Kluyveromyces lactis: one gene and its partners. The protein of the gene in region 1 interacts with the protein of each later gene in a pairwise test. Links are inferred from orthologs where the notes say so. Each region holds a gene or a part of one and is shown on either strand. Other genes may lie near its edges.

Region 1 (4,132 bases):
TATGCCTGTGATACTTCCATTGAACTTACGAAACGGTCACCCTTCTATACTGGAAAAATCGGATATGAACACTTTTTCACTGACAACACCAAATTTTACTATCTAAATTCTACTAAAATGACAATTAACCTTCCGAAACTAGACTCATCTGATAACTTATGTATTCAGCTGTTTACCTTGGGATTGGTGCTCTTTTCTGTTTTGTATTTGATCAGAAAACTTTTTTGAAGTAGGTTGATCTTATTCAATATTCTATCTACGACTAAATATAATGTACAATTCCATTTCACGGATTAAGTGATATGATTAGCATTCCTTATTTTTTGTGATGCTTTTTAGCGATACGTTTCAAAGCCCTTTGTTCGTTCTTTAAAACACCGTCAACCATCTTATATTTACCCTTAACACCCTTAGGCCTGCCGGAAAGACCTCTATTCTTACCACTTGCAACCACAACTGTGACCTTCGGTTTTTGCTTTGCTTTCTTGGTAACCTTTCTCATCAATTTTGCAATTTCTTCAGCCTTGTCCTTTTCAGATTTATCGCTGTCATCATTAATTAGACCAGCCTTCTTCTTCAACTTTTCTAAACGAGCAACAGCACGGTGCTTCTTCCTGGCTTTAGCTTCAGCAACTTTTTTGATGGGTCTGGCATTTAGAGCCTTCAGTTTATCCTTTATTGCCATGGCTGCTTCTTTGGTGATAGGCTTATTAATTTTGGAATGTTGTTTTTCTTCTTCAACGAACCATTCGGGCAGGTTTTCCATATCACGGAAAGAATATCTATTGAAACCCTCTTCGATTAAATCATGTTTCGTTTTGTGACCTAATGCCAATTGATGAGCTAGAGTCATAGCTTCAACGGTCGCAATATCAATGTCTTTGGAATGTTTCTCTTGTTTTGTCCTCTTTGCCTCTTCTTCGGAATCATACTCAGAGTCTACATCGCCATCTTCGTTGTTTGCGACGATTTCGAAATCACTATCTTCGTCGGAAGATTCGGCTTCAGAAATCTGCTCTGCAGGAAGTGGATTCAATTTTCTTTTCTTTGTTAGTTGTTTGACATCACCCACAGACTCTGAATCCGCAAGATCCGCCTTACCAGGTAAATCTGGTTCAACTCCCTCGAATAAAGAATCGGAAAATAGCGCGCGAGCTTTAGAACTTAACTTGCTGCTGTTTTCTCTACTTTTCAATTTTGCTATCAACTGATTGATAGCTTCATCATCGTCAGAGTCTGAAAGATCCGAGTTGTCATCGTCGTCAACATAATCCTTAGTTTCTTCTTCGTTCTCTTCATCACTTTGTTTGTCCTCGAATCCATTCCAGTTGTCCGCTTCACTGGATTCACGGGCTTGCTTAGCTCTAAACTTTGCATCTCTTTCTGACTTGCGTTCCTTATAGTTACTGTACATGGCATCAAGTTGGGATTCTAGTTCATCAGCCTCAGCGAGCTCATCACGATCATCCAGAGGCGCATTTTCATCAATGTGGATATCGTTATCTATGGCTAATTCATTTTGATCAAATATCATTCTTCTCTTACCCTTGGCAAGTTTATCAAGGATACCCGTTTTTTCTGCAGTTTTCAAATTGAAAATTGATTCTCTACCTAACTCTGCAGCTTCGATACCAATGTCTACTGGATTGATCATATTTAATTGCATACGAACAATTTCCTTCTGTTTCATTTCGTTCTTCTTTCTCTTCTCACGCTTAACAGACAACCTTTGTTTCTCCTGTAGAGTATTTAGTTCTTTTTCAATCTGCTCTTCTTCTGTCAAAGGTGTTTCCTCAATCTCTGGTTTTTCTTCCTCTTCATCCAAGCCTAAAAGTTCTCTAGCTGCTTTTCTCCATTTTAGGATCATCTTGAAATCTTTTCTACCAAGAACCTTTAAATCTTCGATACATGCCAAGAATTCTTTGGTGGTTTGCTTTAATTTCTTCACAATTTTCCAGTCATGATCTTCTTCGTCTACGATGAATTTATTATATTCTCCAAGCATAGTTATTGGGTCTTCTGATTTCATAAAGTCCATAAGACCAGTTTCATGGTATAACAAATAATCACCTTCCTCGTAACCACCTCTTTTTCTGACCTTTTTTTCTGGATTAAAAACCTTGGCTTCCATGTTTTGTGGACCATCTGGTAATTCTTCAAAGACTTCCTTTGGGTCTAATAGCCTTGGATCCAACTTCTTAGGGGCCTTGAAATTTTTGCAGACAACGAAAATTTCCGCAGAAACATTTCTGGAAGCAGGAGGTTTGGTTGCCTCCACCTTTTCGAAGAGCTGTTGAAATACCCAAATTAGCTTGTTGTAATCTTTGGATCTGAAGATCTTCGTTACAAATGTACCACCAACTACTAAATTTTCAACGGCTAATTTTAAGGCTTGCAGTGTTAAATGAGACTGTGTGAAGGCATCTTGAGCCCAACTCAAACCAACATTTGGAGCACCATCGTGTAAAACGGTGTCGGCTTTCCACGTCTTCATGTACCCTCTTAATTTCGATCTACAATCTTCCGTTGTGATATCACTTTGGAAAGTAATAACGTTTGGCATAGTTTTCATCGGAACAATATCGACACCAATAATCAAGGAGTTAACAGGACACAAGTTGGAAGCCACTTGACACCAGGAACCTGGTGCAGCACATAAATCGATAACGACCTTCGACTTCTCCAAAAAATGTCCATACTTTTCATTGATTTGAATGATTTTGAAGGAAGAACGAGCTCTGTAGCCCTTTTCCTTAGCAAGGTAATAGTACTTATCTAAACGACCTTTGGAATTCTTCTTTTGCGTCTTCTTACCCATCTTGGTCTTCTCGGTAATGTATGGTGACCTATTCACTCAAGTCTAAAAGAGAACAGGATATCAGAAAGCAAATAAACAACAGTTGTAACCTGTTCAACGTTCAACTAATCTCTTCTCATCTCATCTCATCTCATCTCATCGCTAGACCAATTTCTCAAATAAAAAATTGTCACTCTTCTCACAAATAATGAAAAATTATCTGAAAAAGAAATAATTTTGGATGCGGTGTTCGGGTTAAGAATGCTCGCGGTACCAGGTATGGAAACACCGGACACTGTACTGGAGGAACTGCCAGCTTTGATGCTATGCACGGTTTCCACTGTTAAAATAACGAGCAGTAAAAAATCTGTTTGGACGTGTTATCATGGATATTGATATTACTGTAACAACACAAGACTTATATAGAGGGCCCTTAGCGTTCCACAGTTTTAAATAAGGAATATGATTTCGGTTTTTTTTCAACCATTAGCACTGCCAACGTTTACAAATAATTATGCAACGCTCTCAGGCTATAAGGGTACCGATGCTTATAATATTTCTGCAAGATTATAGGTATGGGTAGTTACTACTATTGCTACTGCTGATCATACCATAGGCTAAATAAATTTATGACCGCCTCTCGAAATAGAGATGCATTCTATGGCCCTCTCGGTCCATTGGCAGTAACTGCAATCTTATATCCAATTATCACACAACATAATGGTTCCCGCTTATACGTAGGTGTATATATAGCCTAATTCATCCGGGTTCAGTATCACTATATTTGGCCAGAATATCTGCGTATTGTACATTCCAGCCAGTAGAACGATACACGTTACAGACAGAGAAAAAAGGAAGAAGAAAAGCATTCCAAAATAAAACTGCAAAAATCAAAAATCCTTTCAAGTACTTACTTACTTGATTAATTTATGGTTGTATGAGATACTTGTACATAAAGTATTGTTTAATTCAATTGCGCAAGATATCAATCTAGTATCCACTGCGTTGAATACACGGGAAGATGAGTAAGTATTCATTTGAAACGATTCAGTTTAAGGAGACTCCTCCGGCGGAAACTCCTGAACCAGTGAATTCCAAATATGGCGTGAAAACGACAGCATCACCAGCTATTAAGAACGCTCCATTGCCTGCAGAGGGACCTTCTTCCAGACACTTTTCCAATTGGTTATTATTCTCCTTGCTCGGTGGTATTCCTTACTATGTAACAAGGAAAGTTGGGGGAGGTCTCAAAACCTTCTTGTTCTTTGCCGTACTGTTTGCTATCCCAATTTTAATGGCCTTTTGGACAATTGCATCCACTTACTCTCCTCGTTT
Region 2 (3,174 bases), on another chromosome or scaffold:
AATTAGGGATCGTCAATTTTATGAATTGTTGAATCATCTAGCTCAGAATGAATTGGATGCACTCAATCAAAAAGTCGGTGATTTCTCAAATTTGAAAGACATTCATTGGTCCTCTGATTTGATTACCGTACCAACAGCTAATAATGCATTCAAGAAATTCGGATGGATTAAACTCGGCAATAAGAAATTAGACGGTCTATGGAAAGTGCAATCAGGCTTAGATTTAGCGAGAAAGTATTCAGAAAACAATAGACAAGATCCCTCAGAACTATATGACACTATAATATCCGAATACAAGGATAAAACTGAAAAAACTGATGGTGATGAAACCACTACTGATAATGTCATAGTAAAACAATGGCAGAATCTAAGATCTTTGAGGCCGAAATACTTGTTTGAGTTTAATAAGGTCAGCGAAAAAACTACTCTGGCGGGGTTCGCCAATGAAGAACTCATTAGGAATGATATCGAATCTAAGAAAAGACGGCTAGCCGAAAGAATAGAGTCAAAAAAGAAGAAACATTCCGAACAAGTCGCCGAGGCTGAACAGTTTTTCAAAGACAAGGAACAAGAAAGGAAAGATCTACTTCAAGCGAAGATAAAAAGTCAAAGAGAAACTCTGGAAAATGGAAAAAATGATAAAACAACTTCGCCTGATGATCAAGATAATGATTCACTAAAGAGAAGACACGATAGTCCAGAGGCTGACGGGAATGAAGAAGAACAAGCTGTTTCGAAGAAACAAAAACTTGAGGAAGAAGTTGAAGAACCAGATGCTGACGCTGAGGCTCAAAAGGAAAAAGCGCTTGAATCTGAACCAACAGAGCTTAAAACAATAGAAAGTACAGAAACAGAAGTAGAGGTGCCGAAAGAACATGAAGGAAGCTCCCACACGGAGTAGGCTAACAATACAGTAATATTTTTTCAGACATCCGTTCAAATATATAGCATATAATTCGATTGAAGAATCATTTATTTTATCAATTACAGATGTTACTTATCAATATCACACGATTCTAGACTATTCCTCTCCTAATTGACATTCGACAGCTATCTCCTTGTCTATTATGAATCGATATCCTTTACTTTGCTTCGAAAGTGAATGTTACCCGGAGAATAATCATATTTCTTTTTTTTTATGTCAATTTTTCATTTAGACAATCCGATGCCAATAAGATGAAAAAAAAAAAAAGAGATGAGATGCGATGCGATGAGATGAATTCAAGTACACAATTAATACTCGGGGACTGGCGTATCGTTTTACTAATCCTTACCATACTATTCAGGACAATCCACCTCAAACAAACAGACAAAATAGTTAGTTATGGCGGGATCTAAGGACAGACCAGCTCAGTACAAACAATCTTCTCGTAAAGGTAAGAAGGCATGGAGAAAGAATATTGATATAAGCGATGTGGAACGCAAGCTCGAAGAGAAGCAGATCCTTGAGACTACTCATGGTAAGCAGAATTTGACAGAACTTAGCGATGATGCGCTTTTTGCGGTTGATACTGAGGGTGACCAAGTTTTAAAGCAGAAATTAGTGAAGAGGAAAGCAATCAAGAAAACTCTGAAGTCAACCGAGATTTTGGAGTCTATCAAGTCTAAATCCAAAGTGCCTGCTCTAACCAACCCAAAGACTGCTAACAAGAAACATGATAAGATCCAAGGGGTATCAAAGAAAGAACTGGACAGATTACTTGCTTTAGCTGGTAAAAAAATTGGTGAAAGTAAGTTGAAAGCAAGAGTTGCAAAAGAAGGTCTTGTGAAGTCAGGATCCCTTGATTTATGGGGCGAAGATGCTGGTAAGGAGGTTAAAGTACCATCTGGACTGAAGCTTAAGATAGCACCAGAAGAAGTAGAGAAACTTCCAAATGGATTCTTAAAACAGTCTACAACTAGTTGGTCCGTCGCAACTGTTAAGCCGGATTCCATTGCTCGCGTGCCAGAAATTGTCAAAGAAAGAGATGTCATTCCACATGCAGGAAAGTCATATAATCCAAGCAAAGAAGAATGGGAGGCTCTTATAAGTACTGAATATGAGGGTGAGCTGATAAATGAACAGCGCAGGATAGCTTTAGAACAATATAAACAACGAATTCAACACTTGATGGATACTATTGAAGATAAGGAGGAAGAGGACTCCGATTCAGAAGAAGAAAATGAATCAGAACTTGATGATAAAGACCTTTCAGAAGAGGGAGAAGAGACTAAGTTGTCTCTGAATCCAGCAACTAAGAATAAAAAGAAAACGAAATATCAGAGAAATAAACAAAGAAGACACGAAGAAAAAGTCAAACTTCAGCAAGAATTAAAGAAATTGAAGGAAAAGGTTCTCAAACTTGAAAAATTAGAGGAAATTCAGCAGGAAGTGGAATCCACCGTCCCAAATCCGGTCTCTACAGCCGGAAAAGTTAAAAAGAACAAGAAGCATAAGCTTGGTACTAAACATTCCGTCATGGAAGACAATTTAGAGGTGAAATTCTCAGATGAACTATCAGATTCATTAAGAAAATTAAGACCAGAAGGTAATCTGCTATATGACACTGTGAGAGCATTACAAAGTTCTGGTAGGGTAGAATCTCGTATCCCTATTAGAAAAGGTAGAAGATATAAACCAAGAGTCACTGAGAAATGGACTTACAAGGACTTCAAATAGATTAATTTGCTCTTTTCTTTCTATACATCATTCCGTACCATTTGTACAATAAAATACACAGACGTACCTGTGCTTTTCTTGCATAATTTATATAGAGCAAAATATTAATAGATTCATTAACTCTGTGATTATATTATATAATAGTAATGAATACAATATCCGACACTTTTACTACTGATTGAACTACACACCAAGAATAGTTCATTTGACTTGGCAGATTTAAATTTTCAAACCAATTTTTCACACCAATGTCAACTTTGCCTGTAGTTCATCTCTCTGCCTTTCCCATTCTTTTACCTTTGTTAGCTTTTGGTTTAGGGTTTCAATCTCATTTTCGATTGATAAAATAGCTTCGTCTGACCCTAATGCCTGTAGGCTCCAATCAGTTCCGTTAGTCAATTCCAATAGGTAGTCATGGTATTTTATCAAAGACGGGCGTTGAGAGATGGATATGAAGTTGAATCTGTATCTCTTCAACATGGTAAAAAGATGATCTTCCATATCAACACTGATAG
Region 3 (3,075 bases), on another chromosome or scaffold:
ATGTCAGAGTATACATTTTCGACACGTGAGTGTTACCATGTTTTATTAAACTTTTTACCCATTCAGACAGGGATAACTGTATAATTGAAAGGTTCTCATCATTATCAGAAGATAAAAAATTAAATTCATCCAAGGCTTCAATTGAGTAGAACAGAAGGGACGGGGAAAACCTCAATATATTCAATTGAAATAAAATGTGAAAAAATCTCACACATACTGTAATAAGCAATAGCAATTAATTCGTGCAACTTGAAACCGTCTTCGCCAATGAAAGCTGGTGTCTTATGCAATGGGAAGTTGCTGGTGAATTCCTTATTTTCAGCAGCAGTAACATCAACAACGTTGACGTCTACCTTGAAGTACTTAGCCAAAGCTTTAGCCAAGATACTTCTTGGGGAAGGAGGCAGAACAAATAAAGTGCTTTGAGCCATTATGAAATGATATCCAACAAAAAGATGCTTCTGTATGGACGTCCTTATGACCTGAACTGAATATTGAAAATCAAACTTGAACACACACTGCACAAACAAATAATTGTGTTCTGAATCGAAGTAACAAGAATGGAAAAAATTTACTATTAATCGTACCCATAACATATTTATACAAAGTAAATGTGAGAAGTTTTGAAAAAAAAAACTGAAGAAAAAAAAAAACTTGGAAAAACATAAAAATTTTGAATAGTCATTTTTCCTTATACGGGCTATTTTAACTGTAGTGATCAAGTAAGTAATTGAAAGGCCTTTAGAGCTTCTTCTTTTCACGTAGCGGCTGGAACAAAAAGAAATTTGTTTTGGATTTTCAATTTTTGGCTTCGAGAGATGAGCCGTGGGTAATGATTGGGGGCAAGTATCATTGGCTATGAGGGCATTGTCAAATGGCTAGAAGAATGATGGTGTACATGTGGCAACAATAAAATGGTTGAAGTCTGTTACTGTACAGTACTTCTGTACATTGTATATACAGAAGTCATCTTCCGCTCGTTTTGACTAAGGTCACGTGACTTATTTAAAGTGTATTCTTTTTTTTTTGTAATTTTCCCTGTAGAAAAGAAACCTCAAAGATTCACCATACGTGATATTCTCAAAACCGTATATAGAAAATTTTCAGCTCATCGCACCGGACAGGTACAGAGACTTAACTTGTTCTTACAGCAATGTACTTATCAGTACTAAGATTCGTTTAGTAAGAAGGATATTATTTACACAGCTCAGTTGTACCAATCCACCCTGACATGAGCAATTCTCTTGAAGAACGGTTGAAATCGAATTCTAGCGCCTTTGAAGGGCTACTTTCGTTGATACCTGCGAAATATTACTACGATGACAAGACACAGGAACAATGGAATGCCAAGAAGAAGAGCAAAGGGCAATTGAAGGAGGATAAGAAATCGAAATTGGATCCTGAGCAGCAGGACGATGAATCCAGCTCTGCCCTCGAAGTTATGAAGAAGAAACAAGCTCAGGCGAAAGCTGTGGTTTTACCAGGCCAAAAGAAGATCCAACGTGAACTACTAGACGCAGAGTCTGAAACATCGTCCGAAGATGATGAAGACGAAGAGGACGAAGAAGAGGACGAGGAGGAGCAAACCGAGGAACAAGAATCTGACGAAGTACCGGAAATAAACATTTCTCAAACTTTGGGCGAATCTGAGAGTATAGCGGTGATCTTTGATGATGATGGAAACCCAGTAGATCAGAACAAACAGAAGCAAGAGAAAGAGCGTATACAGAAAAAACAGGAGGCCATCGAACGTACCAAAGATGACTCTTCTCAGAAGAAGAAGAAGATGGAAGAATTACGCTGTAAACTACAGGAGAAAATCAAAGCTTTAAAGGAGAAAAGAAAAGCCCCAGGAACCAAGGTGGAAGGTGCGCCAAGTTCAAGAGAAGCTATTCTTGCTCAAAGAAAACGTAGACAAGAGGCAAGGGCCACCAAGTTAGATTCTGAAAAAGCTGGTGATGTGTCTTCTGATGATAGCGCAGATTCTGATTCGGACTCGGATGCAGAAGATGCTCACGTTTCCAAGAAACATCGTCGCAATGGTGATGAAGAGATTTCAGCCAAAGATGTTATGTTCCAAAGTATTCAATTCAATGACGGTACAAAGGCTACATCTGATTTATCGCATGTAAGAAAGGGTGAAAGAAAAAAGGGACCTGCCAAAAAGGACGTTAAAGCTCATTTAAGACTGCTAGAGACAAAGAAACAATCATTAGAATCAAGAGATGAATTGGATCAAATTAAACTGAAAGAGAAGGAAAAATGGCAAAAAGCCATGTTGCAAGCAGAAGGTATCAGGCTTAAAGATGATGAGAAACTACTTCGCAAAGCTTTGAAGCGTAAAGAGGCTAAGAAGCGTAAGTCGACCGTCGAATGGCGTGAACGTAAACAAGTGGTAGAAAACACTGTTGCCGAAAGACAGAAGAGAAGAGAGGAAAATCTACAGATTAGAAAGGACAATAAAGGTAAGAAGAAGAGCAAACAACAGAAGATGAAGAGAAAATTCAAGGGAACTGCCCATTTGAAGAAAAGAGCAGGATTTGAAGGACGTATGAAAAGTGTCAAGAAGAAATGAGCCTTAATCAACTAATATTCTCCATCCAACAAATAAAAGCATAATATCATATTTCATCCTTTCAAGTTATAGATTAACCTTTTACTTTTACTTTTGCATCTCTATTTTTATATACTGACACCCAATGATATATAAAAATAAATATAATCAAACCCAGAATGTAATAATGCATAAAATCTCTATTACCATGTAGTCTTTAATAATGGATTTCAGAAGCCAATGTGCGGTTATTTCTTTTCATTCATTTTAAACTGCGTTCGAAAAATCATGAAAATGGTTCAGACGCAATAGTATAGATGAAATAAGGTATCTCGATGAGATGAGGTTGAAGAGGTTCACTCCAGCGAAACAAGGCAACGTTGCAGAAGAGAAAGATTCTATATTGCATAATGCTGAATGTGATAACCTGTCGAAGTCGATTAAGTTTACTCGTTACACCAAGACAACTTCGATATATACGAACCAAAAGTTTATCAAATACTATCTCCACTATAAAGAAA
Region 4 (2,584 bases), on another chromosome or scaffold:
TTAAACGAAAGAGGTGTGTTATTCTGGTTATTCTCTGTTTCCTTCTACGTATTTATCAGTTCAATGGGTCAATTGTGTATTGCAGGTCTTCAGTATGCTGAGGCTGCAGGTAATATGGCATCATTAATGTTCACTATGTCCTTGAATTTCTGTGGTGTGTTTGGTGGTTCTGGTGTTTTGCCAGGGTTCTGGATTTTCATGTACCGTATTTCACCGCTAACTTACTTTATTGATGGTGTACTCTCAACTGGTCTTGCAAACAACCCTGTAACATGCGCAAACTATGAATACGTCAGCTTTAATCCAAGGAGTGGAGAAACCTGTGGTGAGTACATGGCGGACTATATTGACAAGAATGGTGGTTATCTACTAGATTCAAATGCTACGGAAGATTGTAATTTCTGTAAGATTTCTGAAACAAACGCATTTTTGACAAGTTTCCAATCTTCGTACCATAGAAGATGGAGAAATTTCGGTATTTTCATAGTCTTCATTGTGTTCAACTGGTGCGGTTGTGTTTTCCTATACTGGTTGGCTAGAGTTCCAAAGAAGAAGAACAGAGTGGCTGATGAGAGAGACCCAGATCATGGCAAGAAAATTGAAAATGTTCAAAAGGAAAAGGTTGAACCTCAATCCAATGAACAAGTTTAAGGATTTTTGCTTTTTGGCCAATTTTTACGTCGTTTACTTCTGTTTTTTTTTAACTATTAAACTTCATTTCTTATCGTGGGCTTGCGTTCTGCTTTAATATTTTGTTTATTCTGTATATATAGACCTGAATTGATATCTGGTTTCCCCATATATTACTATGGAAACCAAAAAAAGAAACTTCGATTGCATATAAAGTCCCAATATAACTCGATTGCAAGTACGAAAATTATTCAATTTTAGCATGGATCTCTGTTGTGGATGGTCGTTGAGGTAATCAAGATCCTTTGATGGGATATTCGTCAGCTCACCCTTCCTACAATGATTGCAGCGACGAATGTGAACTCTTTTCTTTTTATCGAAAATTAGCTTTCCAAAATTTTGAAAGTTTTTGTATTGATCAGATGAGATGAGATGAGATGAGATGAGGCTAACAAGATAGAAGTTGAATATAGTGGAACATAGCTAGTTATGTAGCTTATTCTAGGTCAAATAGCGAGGGTGCATAACAGCAAATCGGACGATACTATAATTTCAAAATGGCAGTGGATGAACTCAGAATAAAAAACAAGCAGAAGAGGCAAAAACTCTTTGCTGAGTTGAAGGATCAGCACAATAAGGAGCGTCATTCTATGAGGAGGACCAGAGCCAAGGAAGAACGTGAGAATCCGGAATTGAAGGAAAAAAGACTTGCTGAAAATGTTCCTGACACAATTGATAACCTCAGAGTTTACGATGAAACGATGGGTCAAGAAGTCGAAGGTGAAATGGATGATTTTATGAAATTTTTCAACGGTACCGAACCACCAAAGATTCTATTAACAACTAATGTAAACGCCAAAAAGAAGGCATATGAGTTCGCTAATATCCTGATCGAAGTTTTCCCTAATGTGACTTTCGTGAAGAGGAAATTTGGATACAAGCTGAAGGAAATCTCTGAATTCTGTAATAACAGGAACTATACAGATATCGTGATAATAAATGAAGATAAGAAGAAAGTAACGGGGCTTACATTTATTCATCTTCCAGAGGGGCCAACCTTTTATTTCAAAATAAGTTCTTTCGTCGAAGTCGAAAAGATCGTGGGCCATGGTAGACCAACTAGCCATATTCCAGAGTTAATCTTGAACAATTTCAACACCAGACTTGGTAAAACTGTGGGTAAACTATTCCAATCTATTTTCCCTAAGAACCCTGATTTCGAAGGTAGACAAGTGATAACGCTGCATAATCAAAGAGATTACATCTTCTTCCGCAGACACCGTTACGTTTTCAGGAACGAAGAGAAAGTAGGTCTTCAAGAACTTGGGCCCCAATTTACTATGAAACTCAAAAGACTACAAAGAGGTATCAAAGAGGAAACAGAATGGGAACACAAACCTTCAATGGACAAAGAAAAGAAGAAGTTCAATCTATGATATATTTGCATATATTTATATACAAATTCAAAGCCACCTGTGTACTAGTCCTGCACTTGGAGATTTATCAAAGATTTGACGGTATTATCATCACTACTCACGAGGCTGACGAAAAGTGGTGGCAAAATGAGAAATTCCTTGGCTTTAAAGAAAACAGGGCATTGAAACCTTTAAAGGATTTGGAATGTTTTGGGCTTAAATGAGTACAAGCCCACTGTTGAAAAGATTAATTGAAACAAACGGTTACTCTGTTGATCTGAAGAGGTGGTACACTAATTGCTCTTTAGGATTGTCATATTCTTGGTCATTATATTTGATCGATTGCAATCTAAGAAAAAGTATTTTTTCAGGCTGTTTGTTATTGTTGTTTTATTGGAAAGGAATTATTAACACGATCGATCACTGGGAAAGTAAACACTGACAGTAAAAACACTAAGCCACTTTACTCTTTTTTTTGTACACTGTTGCTATTACCTCTCTTTTGTTTTCAGCATCTTAACGTTGATTCTGGACTCATT
Region 5 (2,973 bases), on another chromosome or scaffold:
GTTCCAGTTAGAGATTAACTATGTGCACAATTGGAGCGGGTTTTTTGTTCCCTTCCTTTATTGTTTTTGTTTGCTGTTTTAATCTTCAGCGGCTAGCTCACAAAAATTTCCTGTTTCAGAATAGAATTATTACAAATTGCACGCAAAACGGTAGTTATAGTCTCTTTCAATTAACCTTCAGTTCACTAATCGCCTTAACAGGTTGCAGTCAATAAGGATGTAAATCAGAATGTCCGTAAATTATTGTTGTTTGACCAACTTCTGGTGTCTTCGTCCTTTCCTTCTCCTTAAAATGTGGTTTGTTTTAGGGCTAGTTTAGTTTCAAGTTCGTTGAGATTTTATAAAAAATGAGAAGTAAGCCTATCTAAGATATCAAAACCAAGAAATTTGTGAGTGAGAGCATTTTCTCCATTGGGAACGTCAACTGTCACCTTTCAGAATGTTATTTTTTTGATTTAAAGTAAGTATTTATGAAGGAGTAATATGTATGCCGATTATATATCCTTTTCCATTTATTTCAAAGAGACCAACTTAACGTCGAAAGTCAATTCGGAGTTAGCTGGAATACCTGGAAGAGCTTGTTTACCGTACGCATATGGAGCAGGGATGACGATTCTACGTTCACCACCGACGGCCATACCGGCAACACCGATATCCCAACCTTTGATGACTTCACCACGGCCCAAGTTGAAAACGAATGGTTTACCGCTGGTGTTCTTGTCAAAGACCTTACCATTCTTTAGCTTACCAATGTATCTCATACCGACCTTGGAGCCCTTCTTGCAAGCCTTACCCTTACCAGTGACACGGTCTTCGATGATGATACCACCTTCAAGCACCTTGGTCTTTGGCTTTTCTTTCTTTTCTTCCTTCTTTTCTTCTTTCTTGGTTGGTCCTTCTTCTAGGTCTTTCTTGAATTCAACCTTCTTTTCTTTCTTAGCCTTCTTGTTCTTTTTAGTTTCTTCAACTAGCTTTTGTTCCTCTTCCTCTTCCTCTTCCTCTTCCTCTTCCTCTTCTGGTTCTGGTTGCTTTCTCTTGTTGTTCTTCTTAGACTTAGATTGTTCTTTTTCGACAAGCTCTTGGATCTTAGCTTCAACGTCGCTAGCATCTTCTAACTCTTCCAGATCAGCTTCTTCATCCGGGGTTAGATAGTCGTCTTCATCTTCATCGTAGCTTTCATCGTCTTCTTCATCGTCATCTTCGTCATCGTAACCTGGTGCATCGAATGGGTGCTTGACATAGTTACCGGTTAGAGAAACACGGTAAGAACCAGTAACAATGAATTGAACTTCTTCTTCTGGAGCAATTACAATATCCAAAGATTGTTGATATTGAGTCTTTGGTGACAAAGTCGCTAGGACGAATTCTTGGAATTCGTCATCGGTGTCAATTTCGATAAGTTCTTCATCGCCTTCATCTTCATCTTCCTCTTCCTCTTCCTCTTCCTCTTCTTGCTTCTTGGACTTACCCTTACCCTTACCCTTCTTAGACTTTGACTTTTCCTCCTCTTCTTCTTCCTCTTCGGAAATGTCTAATTCATCTTCGTCGTAATCACCCAACAAACCACCAGCATCATCTTCATCGTCGTAGTCTGGGTTTCTCTTGATAATTCTCAAAGTAGATGGGTTCTTCTCATCATCCAAAGCTTCTGGATCGATAGCAGCCATGGTGATACGCACGGTAACAGGCGTGGTAACATCAATGGCCGGGGTTGGAGTGTATGGCTCGATGTTCAAATTGTAAGCAGCTAAAGGTAATAGGTCAGACATTGTTATGCTATTCAGTTAGAATGAGAGTTTTCTTAATCTGTGGGTATATGTCTACAAAAAAATATACGAACTAAACCTCTATGAAAAAGGTTCTTCCACTCAAGAAGACTCTACCTAATGTAATTCATCTCATCTCATCTCTCTTATATGGCGTCCATCTCTTATTTCTTTCACAACCTTAACTATTCCAAATTCTGAAAATTTTCCAAAAGAAACGAACTTTATGTAGAGAAGATTCGACGTTTCTTTTCTGCACGTGATGAGTTTTATCGACCTCCGCTTAGGGTACAAGACATATTGAAATACATCGTTCGAAAGGGTCGTCAGACAGGGTACACACGTTGGTTATAGTGTTAACTGGTGTGTCTGCAAAACAGTCATGAATATATAGCAGAGACTCTTAGGCAAAAGTAGTTCAAACCAATTGTTACAATCAATTGTCCTTATAGAATAAGGTTGTGGGGATGACGACGTTGCAAACACTAGAAAGGGATTTAATACACCCTTAAGATATAAAAGTTATGTTAATATTATATAACAAAGTAGCTTAAAGTTTTGAATTGTTTTTCGCTTTCTTAGAATTTCAACAAGTGAGGTCTGTCACCGTTCTTCAAAGAGAAAGTAGCAGCCAAGTATTGCTTCAACAATGGGGTCTTCTTGATTTCAGCCAACAAAGCCTTATCGATGTTCTTTTGGTCTTCGATTCTTTCAGCCTTGATTTCCTTCTTTGGTTGGTCTTCGTTGAAGAAGTTGGCTTCAGCTCTTTGCTTTCTTGACAACTTTTCTCTGGAGAAGTAAGCGACGTTGAACTTTTCAGTGTTAACACCTTCCAAGGAGACTCTGGTAGAGGTAGCAATGACGTAACGAGCGTTGACTCTTCTCAATGGAACACCGTTAACCTTGAATGGACCGGAAACCAACAAGGTGTTGTCTTCCAAGTGCTTCAAGTAGACAACTCTCTTACCTCTGAAACGACCAGCCAACAAAATCAAGACGGTACCTGGGACCAAGGAGGCACGCAACTTTTGTGGTCTAGCGGCCTTTCTGGTTTGCTTTGGAGCTGGGACTTCTTCAGCTGGATACCACTTTTGAGCCTGTATTGAAAATTGAATTGAAAAATTCGTTGTTAGTAAAACTGAAAACAATATTTTATCGAGTTATGCCCGTGTATAGAGAAGGAAACCCACAGTTTCAATTCCATTAT

What was found.
Region 2: the proteins of SPB1 (region 1) and NOP53 interact in binary tests that used the Saccharomyces cerevisiae proteins (3 or more experiments, as listed by UniProt). The link is inferred for Kluyveromyces lactis from reciprocal best matches to the Saccharomyces cerevisiae genes SPB1 and NOP53.
Region 3: the proteins of SPB1 (region 1) and RRP14 interact in binary tests that used the Saccharomyces cerevisiae proteins (3 or more experiments, as listed by UniProt). The link is inferred for Kluyveromyces lactis from reciprocal best matches to the Saccharomyces cerevisiae genes SPB1 and RRP14.
Region 4: the proteins of SPB1 (region 1) and RPF1 interact in binary tests that used the Saccharomyces cerevisiae proteins (3 or more experiments, as listed by UniProt). The link is inferred for Kluyveromyces lactis from reciprocal best matches to the Saccharomyces cerevisiae genes SPB1 and RPF1.
Region 5: the proteins of SPB1 (region 1) and FPR3 interact in binary tests that used the Saccharomyces cerevisiae proteins (3 or more experiments, as listed by UniProt). The link is inferred for Kluyveromyces lactis from reciprocal best matches to the Saccharomyces cerevisiae genes SPB1 and FPR3.

The regions. Positions count from the first base shown.
Region 1 is NC_006039.1:51,874-56,005, reverse strand, and holds SPB1 (27S pre-rRNA (guanosine2922-2'-O)-methyltransferase), read right to left. Parts: upstream 2,819-4,132; coding exon 317-2,818; downstream 1-316. Other genes in the region: PBN1 (Pbn1p), read left to right, coding at 1-228; KLLA0_C00715g (uncharacterized protein), read left to right, coding at 3,819-4,132. UniProt on the Saccharomyces cerevisiae protein: Required for proper assembly of pre-ribosomal particles during the biogenesis of the 60S ribosomal subunit. Specifically methylates the guanosine in position 2922 of the 25S rRNA at the stage of 27S pre-rRNA maturation.
Region 2 is NC_006042.1:1,055,254-1,058,427, reverse strand, and holds NOP53 (Nop53p), read left to right. Parts: upstream 1-1,324; coding exon 1,325-2,659; downstream 2,660-3,174. Other genes in the region: HPR1 (Hpr1p), read left to right, coding at 1-901; ATP-binding cassette long-chain fatty acid transporter PXA1, read right to left, coding at 2,900-3,174. UniProt on the Saccharomyces cerevisiae protein: Late-acting factor in the nuclear maturation of 60S ribosomal subunits, which is required for normal acquisition of export competence. Required for the export of the large subunit.
Region 3 is NC_006042.1:2,415,765-2,418,839, reverse strand, and holds RRP14 (ribosome biosynthesis protein RRP14), read left to right. Parts: upstream 1-1,231; coding exon 1,232-2,575; downstream 2,576-3,075. Other genes in the region: TEF4 (translation elongation factor EF1B gamma), read right to left, coding at 218-596; SOV1 (Sov1p), read left to right, coding at 2,965-3,075. UniProt on the Saccharomyces cerevisiae protein: Involved in ribosome biogenesis and cell polarity. Required for the synthesis of both 40S and 60S ribosomal subunits and may also play some direct role in correct positioning of the mitotic spindle during mitosis.
Region 4 is NC_006042.1:2,012,219-2,014,802, reverse strand, and holds RPF1 (rRNA-binding ribosome biosynthesis protein RPF1), read left to right. Parts: upstream 1-1,187; coding exon 1,188-2,066; downstream 2,067-2,584. Other genes in the region: KLLA0_F21692g (pleiotropic drug resistance family ABC transporter), read left to right, coding at 1-651. UniProt on the Saccharomyces cerevisiae protein: Essential protein. Required for biogenesis of the 60S ribosomal subunit.
Region 5 is NC_006038.1:421,062-424,034, forward strand, and holds FPR3 (peptidylprolyl isomerase FPR3), read right to left. Parts: upstream 1,770-2,973; coding exon 513-1,769; downstream 1-512. Other genes in the region: RPL6A (60S ribosomal protein eL6), read right to left, coding at 2,345-2,863. UniProt on the Saccharomyces cerevisiae protein: Proline isomerase that belongs to an abundant class of enzymes that catalyze the cis-trans isomerization of X-Pro peptide bonds and can accelerate the refolding of proline-containing polypeptides. Specifically binds nuclear localization sequences.